3 linked regions of the Callithrix jacchus genome follow. The protein of the gene in region 3 purifies or fractionates together with the protein of the main gene of each other region. This does not show direct contact. Links are inferred from orthologs where the notes say so. Each region holds a gene or a part of one and is shown on either strand. Other genes may lie near its edges. The genes, in order: SNX24, FAM83H and CSNK1D.

Region 1 (3,647 bases), on a different chromosome or scaffold from region 3:
TAATCTTAAACCAATTTCCAAACAGAGGTTTTTAAGAAAAACAAAACTTGAAACACATCATGGTGATCAAACATTTAGCAAGATCATAATCTTATTCCTGGCTGATGAAGAATAGCCCTTACCTTGACTCTTCAGATTCTGTTTCATCAAAAGATCTAAAAGTTTTGAGAAAGGGGGGGAAAAAGAAAGAAAAACCACATATGTTGAGTCAATGTTAATGCCAACAAAGGAAAAAATACCCAATGTTATCAGACCACTGAATTGGGAAATATTTTTAAAAAGAGTTGTGAGTTTCCACTGAGCCACAGCATGGCTATGCACCGTCCTAAGGAATCTGAAGACTGAAATATTCTTTGATTTCAATTTTCCTGAAGATTACTTAAAAATTCTCAGGTTTTATTACTTTTGGGCTTGTATAATAGAGAAAACATTTCACTCACTGCTATTGCTAATGTCTGTTCTGAAAAATACATAAACATATATGAAGCCTAACCACCCTATAAACACATAGGAGTTGGAACAGAACACACTGACAACATATTATTTGCCAAGTGTAGTGTACAATTTTTGCTCTGCAATAAGTGGAAATGGCCCTGATAAACAGTGCCCATTAGGAGCTGTGATAACTGTCTGCAGCCCTGTCATCCAGCAGACGGCTGGGGTTTAACGACTTTGGGTGTGGTCTGCTTGATCTTCTTGTAATTAGTGTGTTTCCTTCAGGCAGGTCTGGAAACAGTGAGAAAATGGTTAAATCTGCCTCTTGCTTGAATTTTCAGAGAGTTTGTAATGATTTCCTTCTCTGTAAACGGATATAGTATGCCACGGATGTTCCTGAAGGCCTTCTGAAGCTAGCTCAGCCTATGTCATGTGCCTATAGCTGGGCAAGCGACTTGCTTCAGAGTTAATTCTTCAGGAGAGCTTTTCCCAACTGCTGATGATATCAAACCTCTGGGTCCTTGGTAGATAGGGATTAGAGTCTGTGGTCCTGCCACTGGAAATTCCTGAGAGAGGCAGCTGGACAGCAGAGGAAGAGGGCTCACCTTGGAAGGCCTGGGTTCTGTCAGCTACAAGACAAGAGATCTTGGGAAAGACGCTAAATTCCTGTGTCTCTGTTTGCTTAACTACAAAATGAGAGGAGTTGGATCAAATCATCTCTGAGGTCATTAACAGCTTTAAAATTATATGAATATGGGCCGGGTACGGTGGCTCACGCCTGTAATCCCAGCACTTTGGGAGGCTGAGGCAGGCAGATCACGAGGTTAGGAGTTTGAGACCAGCCTGACCAACATGGTGAAACCCCATCTCTATTAAAAATACAAAAAAAAAAAAAAAAAAAAAATAGCCGGGAATGGTGGTGTGCACCTGTAATCCCAGCTACTCAGGAGGCTAAGGCAGGAGAATTGCTTGAACCCGGGAGGCAGAGGTTGCAGTGAGCCCAGACAGTGCCATTGCACTCCAGCCTGGGCAACAGAGCAAGACTCCATCATCCCCCCATCCCCTAAAAAAATATATTTATATATGAATATGTGTACTACCAGGATATGGACTTTGCTTGAGTTTTCACTAATAAATGAGTCCATAACAAGTTATCTAGATTCATAATTCCCATCAAGTAACATCATTCTATGTAACAGTGTAACTGAAAAGATTGATTCCGAGTCTAAACATGGGTTACTAAACCATGGCCATCTGGCCACAAGATGGGCATGAGGACTTTAGAGGAATTCTTTTGATCACAAGCAGGGGGCGAGCGAGTATTGTAGCAAGCCAAAAGAGTGGGCGTGGCCGGCTGGCTACTCGGGCACTACTCTGGGCTATTTGTTAGACCAATCAGTCATTGAAGTGTAATTTAAAATACACATCCAATATGCAAACATGATTCTTACCCATAACTTTCTGCCTTTGGTAGAGAGGGCAAGTGTCGCACGTTTAGGAAATCAAGAAACAGTTTGGGAAGTTCTTCATTTTCTAAAATGACAGCCTGTGAAAGCAGAAAACAGAATTAGAAACTGAAGTGAAGTTTGCTAGGCGATCAATCAAATGAACTATTTCAAAAAGTCATAACCGTCCATCAAAGTTCTTACCAGCAACATTCCTCAGAGTCAAGATGAGGAGTGGTCTCTGTTTTGCCCACCAGAAATTCAAGCTGACACACATGCTAGGCAGTGCTGGCAAATGCTGCAGTTTATTTGTTCTTTCATTCAATGGGCATTTATTCAACACCTACTATACACTAGATGCTGTCTAGGGGACAAGACTGTGGGGAGCCAGGTAGAAATGCTTCCTGCCTTCATGGAGATTCTAATCTAGAGTATTTCAAAACCTGGGAATATCAATAATACTATTAAGATATGTATATCAAATTTTCCTTACTGAGTGATAAAGTGATCTGATATACATTATGTATACACGTTTGTGTGTGTATGTGTGTGTGTGTGTGTCTCCCTACAGGAGACCACTAATATTTAGGAAATATGATAAATCATTTTTTAACTGAAAGATTTAGTCAAGACCCTCAATTATCACCTGTTTTGGCATTAGAATCAACTGACATTTATTGCCATTTGGACAGCTCCACTTAAAGGGTCAGTAACAACTTTACTGCTAAATGTAAATCAGCATACACGCCGAAAAAAAATCTATAAAGTTCTTCCATTTAGTGAGCTTTGCTACATAGCTGGCATAATGGCATAACCATGTCAGTATTCAGAGATCCAGATTATGCAATGTCAAGAGAAATCTGACAAAGAAGTATGTATCTTCATAGCTATGCACTTTTTAAGTCTACCAGAGTGTGTGAACTGAATGTACGTTTGCCACCACCCCCTCCCACTTTTCCAAAAGACCATAGGAGAAAAGCATCAAAGATTGTATAATAATCTCTGAGTTCAATACTACTATTCTTAAGGGTCATTTTTCATAACTACCATGGGTAAATTTTGTCCAATAAGTATATATTGTTTAAAGAACTGTGAGAATTGATGGTGAAACATCATTCACACAGCTAATCAGGAATACTGTGTAAGGTGATGCATAAGACACATAACAAGCAACAAAAGTGAGGTGAAATTATATGTACCTTGTAGATACATAGTTCTAGATCACATCTTGTTTTTGGCCATGGTTTACATACTGAGTTGCCCCAATTTCTCATCAGGTTATGTAATACCGTTACCCAGTTCAGGTCATACAAATGGGGTGGGTGACTATACAGGCTGCCAGGCCTCCTAGGTTGCCCTCTGTCCCACACTAGAGCACAGCCCTCTTAGTGTTCAGTCCCTGGAGAGGGATGATCTAGACAGCCACCTCTACTGGGGGCTGCTACTGTTCTTTACACAGCTCACTGTTCCCATGAAAGCTTAAGGAATAAAAGACAGAAGAAAAAAATTGGGTGTTATATTTTATTAATTAAATAATAATTTACTGGGCATCTATATATTACACACTGGGACATGACAATAAAGCTTACAAGTCCAGAGAAAAATGAAAAGTTCAGAAGATAAAGAGAAAAAGGCCTTCTGTCCAGAGACATAATTTCATTACTATTTCAGTTAAATTTCCTTAAATCATTTCACTTTCATCTCAGTTTTTACCTATTTGAGGAAATTTTTTGGGTGCCCAGAGGTCATTATTTCAGTGCCTAGGAC
Region 2 (3,747 bases), on a different chromosome or scaffold from region 3:
GCCGTGAGCTATGATTGTGCCAATGCACTCTGCCTGGGCCACAGTGAGACTGCATCGCTACAAAAAATAAAACCAAACCCTCTAAAACTTTCATGATTCTTGGTTTAAAGACAAACGTAATCTGGGCTACGTTCATCATTACAATATTCGCTTTTTTTCTTAAGATGTTCATGAGCCCCTGGCACTGTGCCTACTGAACAAGTTGGTCTGCCCATGCTGCCTGTGTCTCTCTGACTGCCTGGGAGACCCCGAGTAAGTCACTGCACCTCTCTGGCCTGTACATCTTCTGCACAACACAGCTGAGGGTCCACATGACGCCATGCTTCACCTAAGATGAGCAAACAGGGCTGTGACCACCCTCCTCCAGGAACGCGGAGGTCCTCGTTAGTGGACCTCAGCCACACCTCCTCCCCATCCTCAGTTTCACAGTTGGGTTCCCACAGCCCATCCTCTGACCACCCAGCCCTGGAACTGACCCCTAGACCCTGTCCCTGTCTACCAGCCCCTCTCCTTCCCTTGGCCCACCCTTGACCTCTCTCTTGTCACTGTCCCTCTTAGATGAAACCTCCCTGGGCCACAGCCCATTGGTGCCCACAGGTCCTTCAGGGCCTGCACTCCACAGCCCCCAGATCTCGCTCTTTACTTGCTCAGAGTCCTGTCCCCACCAACCCCAGTCCAAAGCAGCAGGGACCTTTCCAGGTCTTGGGCTCCCCACCACCATCCACGCTTGCCTGCCCCACAGCCCACCCTGTTCTCCAAAGGGTCCCTGCAGGGGGCCTGGCCTCTCCAGAAAGGTGTCTGATGGGGACCTCTATAGGGTGCCCAGGGCCCATGTGCACATGGTCATGGAGCTACCTGGGTACCTCTCCCTGGAAGGAGAGCCCTAGGGAGCACTCAGCCCATCCCAGTGCTCCTCAGGTTGCTGAGGGAGGCAGCACACCTATCCCCACCTAGCACACAGGTTCCTGAATGTTGGCCCTGGCTGGGGAGGCAGTTCAGCCCAGACAGAGGAGCGTGCCCTGGGGCGTTGACAGGATGGGCGCTGGCCAGCTGGACTGCATGGGTGCTAGCAGGAGCCACTTGGCTGAGAATGTTAAGGTCAGGCGGCAGCCGTCCTGCCTGGCGCACCTGGGGGTGACATGGAGTTGACACGTGGGAAATACCTGGTGCCACTCAGTTATCCAGCCCCAGATGCCAACCGGCCTGGGAGAAGCTGTCCCAACATTTCTTTGTTGAGGCACTGTCCTCATGGTTGACATGTGGGGCTGGTTAGGGCACACTGTCTTGATTGTGCCAGGAGCAGATCAAGGCCGACCACATGGGGGTGAGGGGCAGGCCTGTCTGGCTGGGTGGGGGCGCCCACTCACCACTGCCAGCCTGGCTGTAGAGGCAGTGTCTGATCACACAGGGCTTGAGGGAACAGCCCTGCTGATCTTGAGGGGCACTTCCTGCTGCTGGGGGGGCAGCACTCTAGAAAGGACCCCCACTGTCCCTTTGGATTTCACAGGGTAGGGGAGTCAACAGTGTCCAGGCTGTGTGTAATGTGGGCAGGGACTGTCAGGACTGTGGAAGCCCCTGTGGCCAAAAGCCCTCCAGCAGACACCAGCGTCCACACAGAGTGATGCCAATGGCTTCCTCCAACGACTTCATTCCCCGTGTTGTCCCCTTTCATGGGTCCGTGTCTCCCCAGCTATGGACGGGGCCGCAGCCACTCCCGAGCCTGAGATGGAGCACTCCAGTGGCCTGCATGCCTACACATTTGTGTAGCAACGCCTGCCCAAGGGAGGGAGGGCACGGAACCCACCCATGGCCAATGACTCAGCACGAATCCACTCTTCTGCTGACCCCGATCTGTGACTTGAGGTCAGGGCTCTCAGCTGGACTTTAAGGACCCCATCCTCTCCACCCTGGCCGTAAGTGGGGTATCTGGAAGGAGGACCCCATGGAAGGATCCAGAGTTCCTACACCAAGTGGGGTGAGCCTGTGCCGTTCCAACGGGCACAGGAGGGCGTGGAGGCTCTAGGAGGCGGAAAGGTGGGGTGGGGAGGACGGAGCTCACAGACCGGAAGTCGCTCAGTGATAGTTTGCGGGGTGGGCACCCCAGCGCCCAACGTGGTCAGCGCACCCTACGCGTTCGCAACTGCGGCGGCTGGGGGCCCCATCCGCCCACCCCACCCCAGGAACGTGGGCACGAGAGGCAGCACTCCCGTCGCTCGTCCTGCTCTCCACGCGGGGATCCAGGCCGCACTCTGGCTACCCCACTCCACGGCGGCCGTCCCCAGGGACGGGTCCAGCCCGTGCCCAGCACCCAGACTCCAACTAGGCCGCGAGGGCGGGACCAGGCGGCCGGGCAGGCTGGACCCGGCCCCGGGCCCCTTCCTATCGGCTCTTCGCGGGCCGGCGTCGTGCGAGGGCGCTCGCGTCCAAATCCGCGCAGCGGCGCCCCCTGTCCGAGCCGCCCCCCGCCGCCCCGCGCACGCGGCCGCGCCCCAGCTCCAACGCCCCTCTCTGGATCGCGCGGCCCCGGCCCAGGTGCTGGCGCGAGGGCGGCCCAGGTGGGACCGCACCGAGGGGCGCCCGCCCCCACCTCGCCCCGCCCCTCCGGGCCGGGGGAGGGGGCCCTACCTGGCCAGGTGCGCGGGGTCTCGGCACAGGGGCAGCAGGAGCCGACCGCCGCCCAGCGGCCTCGCGGTCCGGTCGGTCCGGCAGCCACTCCCTGCGCGGCCCGCCCGCCGGCCCGGCCTGATTCACGCGCCCGCCCCCGCCCCGCCCGGCGCTCCTGCCTCCTGCCTGCCCGGGCAGCACCTGGGGGCGGGGCGGCCCCACCCGCGGCGCGCCCGCATTCCTGCGCCCCGGCCCGCGCCCCGACCGTCCGCCCCGACCCGCCCGCACCCTGCGGGGACCCCGGCCCAGCGCCGCCGGAGGCCGTGAGGCCCTCACTTCAAAGACCCCGGCCCCGGGGAGCCCAGCTGTTGACCCCAGGCTCAAAGTCCTAGGCTGACCCCTGACCCTCGCCCCGGAAGTCGGGGTGACGCGGAAGTTCCGGCTCGGTAGCTAGGAAACGAGCCAGCCCGACGCCAGGGGCGGAGCTCTGGCCTCCTGGCCAAGTTGGGGAGGCAGGTAAGGCAGGTGAGTACGCTGCGGCGGCGCCGAGCGCCGGGTGGGGCCGGGTCTGGGAGCCCCGAGAGCGCAGGGGATCCCTTCACCACACACCGGTCTCCTTCCGCACTGGCGCCCAGACGTAGAGGGGACGACCCCACCCACACAGAGGACCCCCAGGCCCCGGCTCCCCCACACACACTGATGCCCACAGCACCTGGGGTGCCCTATTGTTCTTCCTCATCCCCGTACACCGACGCCCACCCGTGTAGGGGACACTGCACACACTGACCCCCTGCACAGACGAACCCCAAATGACCTGTCCCTCATCCTTCATGTACACCGACCCCCCATGCACACGCGGGCCTGGAATGACCCGTTCCTCATGTACACCAACCGCACAAGCACAGAAGAATCCTCAGGAAGGCAGAACCCACAAGCACACTCAGTCTTGCACACCAGTCACCCAGGAACACGCTGACGTCTGCGCACGTGGAGAACCCCACCTGCAATTGGGATCCCTCAGACACTGACCCAGGGGATCAGGCAAACAGGGGATGCCATATTCACACTGACTCTGAGAGCACAGGGGACCTCTCTCACACATATGGAACCCTGGGTGTACACACGGGGACCCTACAAAAACCA
Region 3 (3,747 bases):
TCTTCAGATCAGCCATCTTGACTCTAACTGCTGCTCTGCGCAGACCCACACTTCCTCCAGCCTGCCTTACTCCGGGTTACATGACCACTTCACTTTTCATTTCCTCAGGGGGGTCGTCTGAAAGGACTGAAATGTAGGCCAGGAGCCAATGCTGATGGAAAAAAAACAAATCAGCTGTGCCCAACCCCACTCAAGTAACTGGACATGTACCCTGATGGATGGTTGTCTGAAGGCTCCAACCCCAGGGCGCCAGAGCCACAGTCACCGGAAATCCCTACCCTAATGGTTTCCAGCGTGACTGCATGCCCAGCATGAGGTGAGGCCTGAGGGTGCAACCATGAGTGAGCAGACAGCCTGCCACCTTCCACCTTTGTGAACGACTTGGTAACAACCACACCAGAATTTGTCTGAATCTATCTTTGGAAAGCACAAAGTTGTTCTGACAAGGTCTCAGAGGAGTGCAGTGGTGTGACCTTGACTCACTGCAATCTGTACCTCTCAGGATGCCTTAGCCTCCTGAGTAGCTGGGATCACAGGTGACGGCCACCATACCCGGCTAATTTTTGTATTTTTAGTAGAGAAGGAGTTTTGCCATGTTAGCCAGGCTGGTATTAAACTACTGACCCCAAGTGATCCGCCAACCTTGGCCTCCCAAAGTGCTGGGATTACAGGTATGAGCCACTGCGCCCAGCCTAAAATACTTCTTTTTGATGCCTGCCTAAGAGTGGTTAATGGACTGGCTTTGCAGTGTAACTCAGACTGTGGAGTTAAAACTTTTGCCAAAATCTATCAATCTATAAATAAGCCAAATGCCTTCCATTTACCAAGCACTCTGACTTCCAAAACACTGCCAAGAACATATCCAGCTGACCACCTGGGTATAAATGTTTAGTCAACCCAAACATCTAAAGCGTGTTTTACTCACAGGCTGCTAAGGCATATATACAGGTTCAAAAGCAACAATATGGCATGTGACAGGGTTAACTGGTAGGTTAACCAGGCACCCAAAGTATGACCCACCCAAATGTATGGGTTCAGCCTAATGCTGTCAGCCCACTGGGTCCTGAGTCATCTCTCAGGTGAAAAGTGAGAAGGGTATGAGATGTAGGGACTGTTCACATGCGGATTAATCTAAAAAGTGCGACCAGAGGCATTACTGACATCCCATAGGATTCCGGACCCTGGCTGTGCCCCAGCCAAACACACCCCAGAGATGGGGCTGCTGGAACAGAGAATAGGTCCCCTCAAAGGTCTGCATCAGGCCTTCTGCAGGCACACTGCCCACGAGGCTACACATCCTCAAGTTCAGGGGGTCTTGGAATAACTCCTGTATTGCACAATCCCACTGACAAGTACGGAAAATTAAGTTACTTTAAAATTATGTACAAACTTGGGCTGGGCGTGGTGGCTCATGCCTGTAATCCCAGCACTTTGGGAGGCCAAGGGGTGGGAGGCGGGGAATCACCTGAGGTCGGGAGTTTGAGACCAGCCTAACTAACATACAGAAACCCTGTCTCTACTAAAAATAGAAAATTAGCCAGGCGTGGTGGCACGCGCCTGTAGTCCCAGCTACTCGGGAGGCTGAGGCAGGAGAATCGCTTGAACCCTGGAGGTGGAGGTTGCAGTGAACTGAGATCATGCCATTATACCTGGGCAACAAGAGCAAAATTCCATCTCAAAATAAATTTTTTTTACAAACTTGAAGATGTCAGCCAATCTTTCAATACACTTGTGCCCACATGCATATTCTTCTGTTGTAAATATGACAACCCAGAATGTTCTAATCCCATTTTTTTTTTTTTTTTGAAATCTACCTTGAGAATGTTAAAGGACAGCTCATGAGTACTACTACTTCATGGGCCTCTCATTTTGCCAGCATCTTAACCCTGTGGGACTTTCATTTGCACTCAGTCACCGCTCCAAGGCCTAGGGTCGCAGTGCAGAGAGAACCCCCAGCGGTCAGTCATGACGGCGGCCGCGAGGTGGAGGGCAAGCCCCGCTCCTAGCCAGGCCACTCCCCCAGCTCCACACGGCATTCGGGTCTTTCTGACATTATCCCCCACGCGTGCAAGACGCATGGGCAGCCTCTGACTGGGGAGCCAAACATCCTCGGACAGGGCTGCGAAAGAAAGAGCATGGCCTTTGTTTATCTCGGAGACCTCAGGCGCGGAGCAAGCCGACACTCGCCCGCGGCCCCGGCCCTGCCCCGCCCCCTCCCCCTCCCCTCCCACGGGCCGCGGCCCCCATCACGCCCTGCCCCTCCCCTGGGCCCGCCTCCCCACGCCCCACCCAGCCCTTCGCGGGTCCGCTCCCCGACGACCCTGCCCCTTCCCGACTCCGCACCCCCGAGACCGTGCCCCGCCCCGGGTCGGCTCCCCTGTCCCCTCTTTCCCACCCCTCCCCTCTCCAGACCCCGCTCCCCCACCCCCCGACCCTGCCCCTCCCCCAGGTCCACGCCCCACTGTCCTCCCCAACCCCGGCCGCGCTTGTCTAGTGGCCGTTGGGTTCTAGCGACGACCCGGCGGCGGCAGGGCTTGCGCGCGGACCCCGCGGGGGCCGCCACTTCCTTCCGCGGTCGCACTTGGTCTCGGTAGCCGCGGGGCCCGGGTCCTCAAACGGCGGGTGGGGACGGCGGGGCCTCACCAAGATAGATGTCTCCGAAGGAGCCGCTGCCAATCTTCCGACCCAGCCGGTACCTGTTCCCGACTCTCAGCTCCATGGCGGCGGCGGCCCGGTTCGATCCTGCCCTCCCGGCCGCTTCCTGGGTCTGAGCTCCGGGAGGCGGCGCCACTGCTGCCGCTACTGCGGCTCCGGCTGCCGGCTCCGCCCCCCTCACGGCCCCGCTTTCACCATCGCTTTCCCGTTGCCCCGTCGCTCCCAGCGCCTCAATACGGGGCGGATGGGACAGTCCAAGCGCCGCCGCCGCTGCTCCGGCCCCTGCCGGCGCCGCTTGCCCTCTCCCCGCCGCGGATGGACTCGGATCTTCGGGGCCTAAATCCCCTTTCAGCAGCCTGAAGGAGCCGCCGCCATCGCGCTGTGACGTCACTTCCCTTGGCAACCCCCTGGCGGGTGGGGCCGCAGTGCTCGAGGGGCGGGGGCGGGTGGGGCGAGCGCTCCCAGCCTCCTCGGACCCTGCACCGTCTCGCAGGGCCCCAGTCCCTCTGCCCGCCCATTATCCCAGGACCTCAGGCCGCCAGCCCCTTCCACGTGCAGGCTCCTACCGCTCTCACTGGGGCTTTTCGTGTGTCCCCCGAGATTTCGGGAGAGCCAGGTGAGTTCCTGGAGACAGGCGGTGCCCTTTGCAGGAGGGAACAGGTAGCTGAGGCCCGGCCCGGAGGACACAAGTGAGACCTTCTCACTTGGCTGCCAGTTCCCGGGCGTGGGGCATCTCAGGACGTCAGCGGCTTTGCCTCCTGACACCTGAGGCCAGAGACAGAGAGGCCCGCACCCTGGGAGGTCCTGATGTCCAGCCTGAAGGATGAGGACGAGGCTACCACCTTTCACAAAATGAGGACAGACCACCTGCCTCCCACCAGTCCCTGCGGCCTGGAGACCGAGTCAACATTCTTATCTGTGTTGGATCTGAATATTCCTCCTTGCAAAAGAAAACAAGGATGTGCACGTTCAGGCTGACGGTCAGCTTCAAAGATTGGGGCCTTTGATTCCCATCACTGGGAAGAAAGCCCTCCAGAGAAGCCCCCCCAGGCTGCGGCGCATGGGGACCATGAAGAACCAGTCCCCGTGGTC

What was found.
Region 1: the proteins of CSNK1D (region 3) and SNX24 purify together in Homo sapiens (affinity purification with mass spectrometry; 3 studies listed by BioGRID and IntAct, counting the BioPlex papers as one, with this or other methods). This does not show direct contact. The link is inferred for Callithrix jacchus from reciprocal best matches to the Homo sapiens genes CSNK1D and SNX24.
Region 2: the proteins of CSNK1D (region 3) and FAM83H purify together in Homo sapiens (co-immunoprecipitation; 5 studies listed by BioGRID and IntAct, counting the BioPlex papers as one, with this or other methods). This does not show direct contact. The link is inferred for Callithrix jacchus from reciprocal best matches to the Homo sapiens genes CSNK1D and FAM83H.

Annotation. Positions count from the first base shown.
Region 1 is NC_133503.1:86,337,606-86,341,252, forward strand, and holds part of SNX24 (sorting nexin-24), read right to left. Parts: intron 1,982-3,647; coding exon 1,887-1,981; intron 156-1,886; coding exon 123-155; intron 1-122. UniProt on the Homo sapiens protein: May be involved in several stages of intracellular trafficking.
Region 2 is NC_133517.1:53,882,252-53,885,998, reverse strand, and holds the start of FAM83H (protein FAM83H), read right to left. Parts: upstream 2,719-3,747; 5' UTR 2,626-2,718; intron 329-2,625; 5' UTR 267-328; intron 73-266; exon of another isoform or gene 1-72. UniProt on the Homo sapiens protein: May play a major role in the structural organization and calcification of developing enamel. May play a role in keratin cytoskeleton disassembly by recruiting CSNK1A1 to keratin filaments. Thereby, it may regulate epithelial cell migration.
Region 3 is NC_133506.1:137,905,668-137,909,414, forward strand, and holds the start of CSNK1D (casein kinase I), read right to left. Parts: upstream 2,770-3,747; 5' UTR 2,720-2,769; coding exon 2,644-2,719; intron 1,952-2,643; exon of another isoform or gene 1,815-1,951; intron 1-1,814. UniProt on the Homo sapiens protein: Essential serine/threonine-protein kinase that regulates diverse cellular growth and survival processes including Wnt signaling, DNA repair and circadian rhythms. It can phosphorylate a large number of proteins.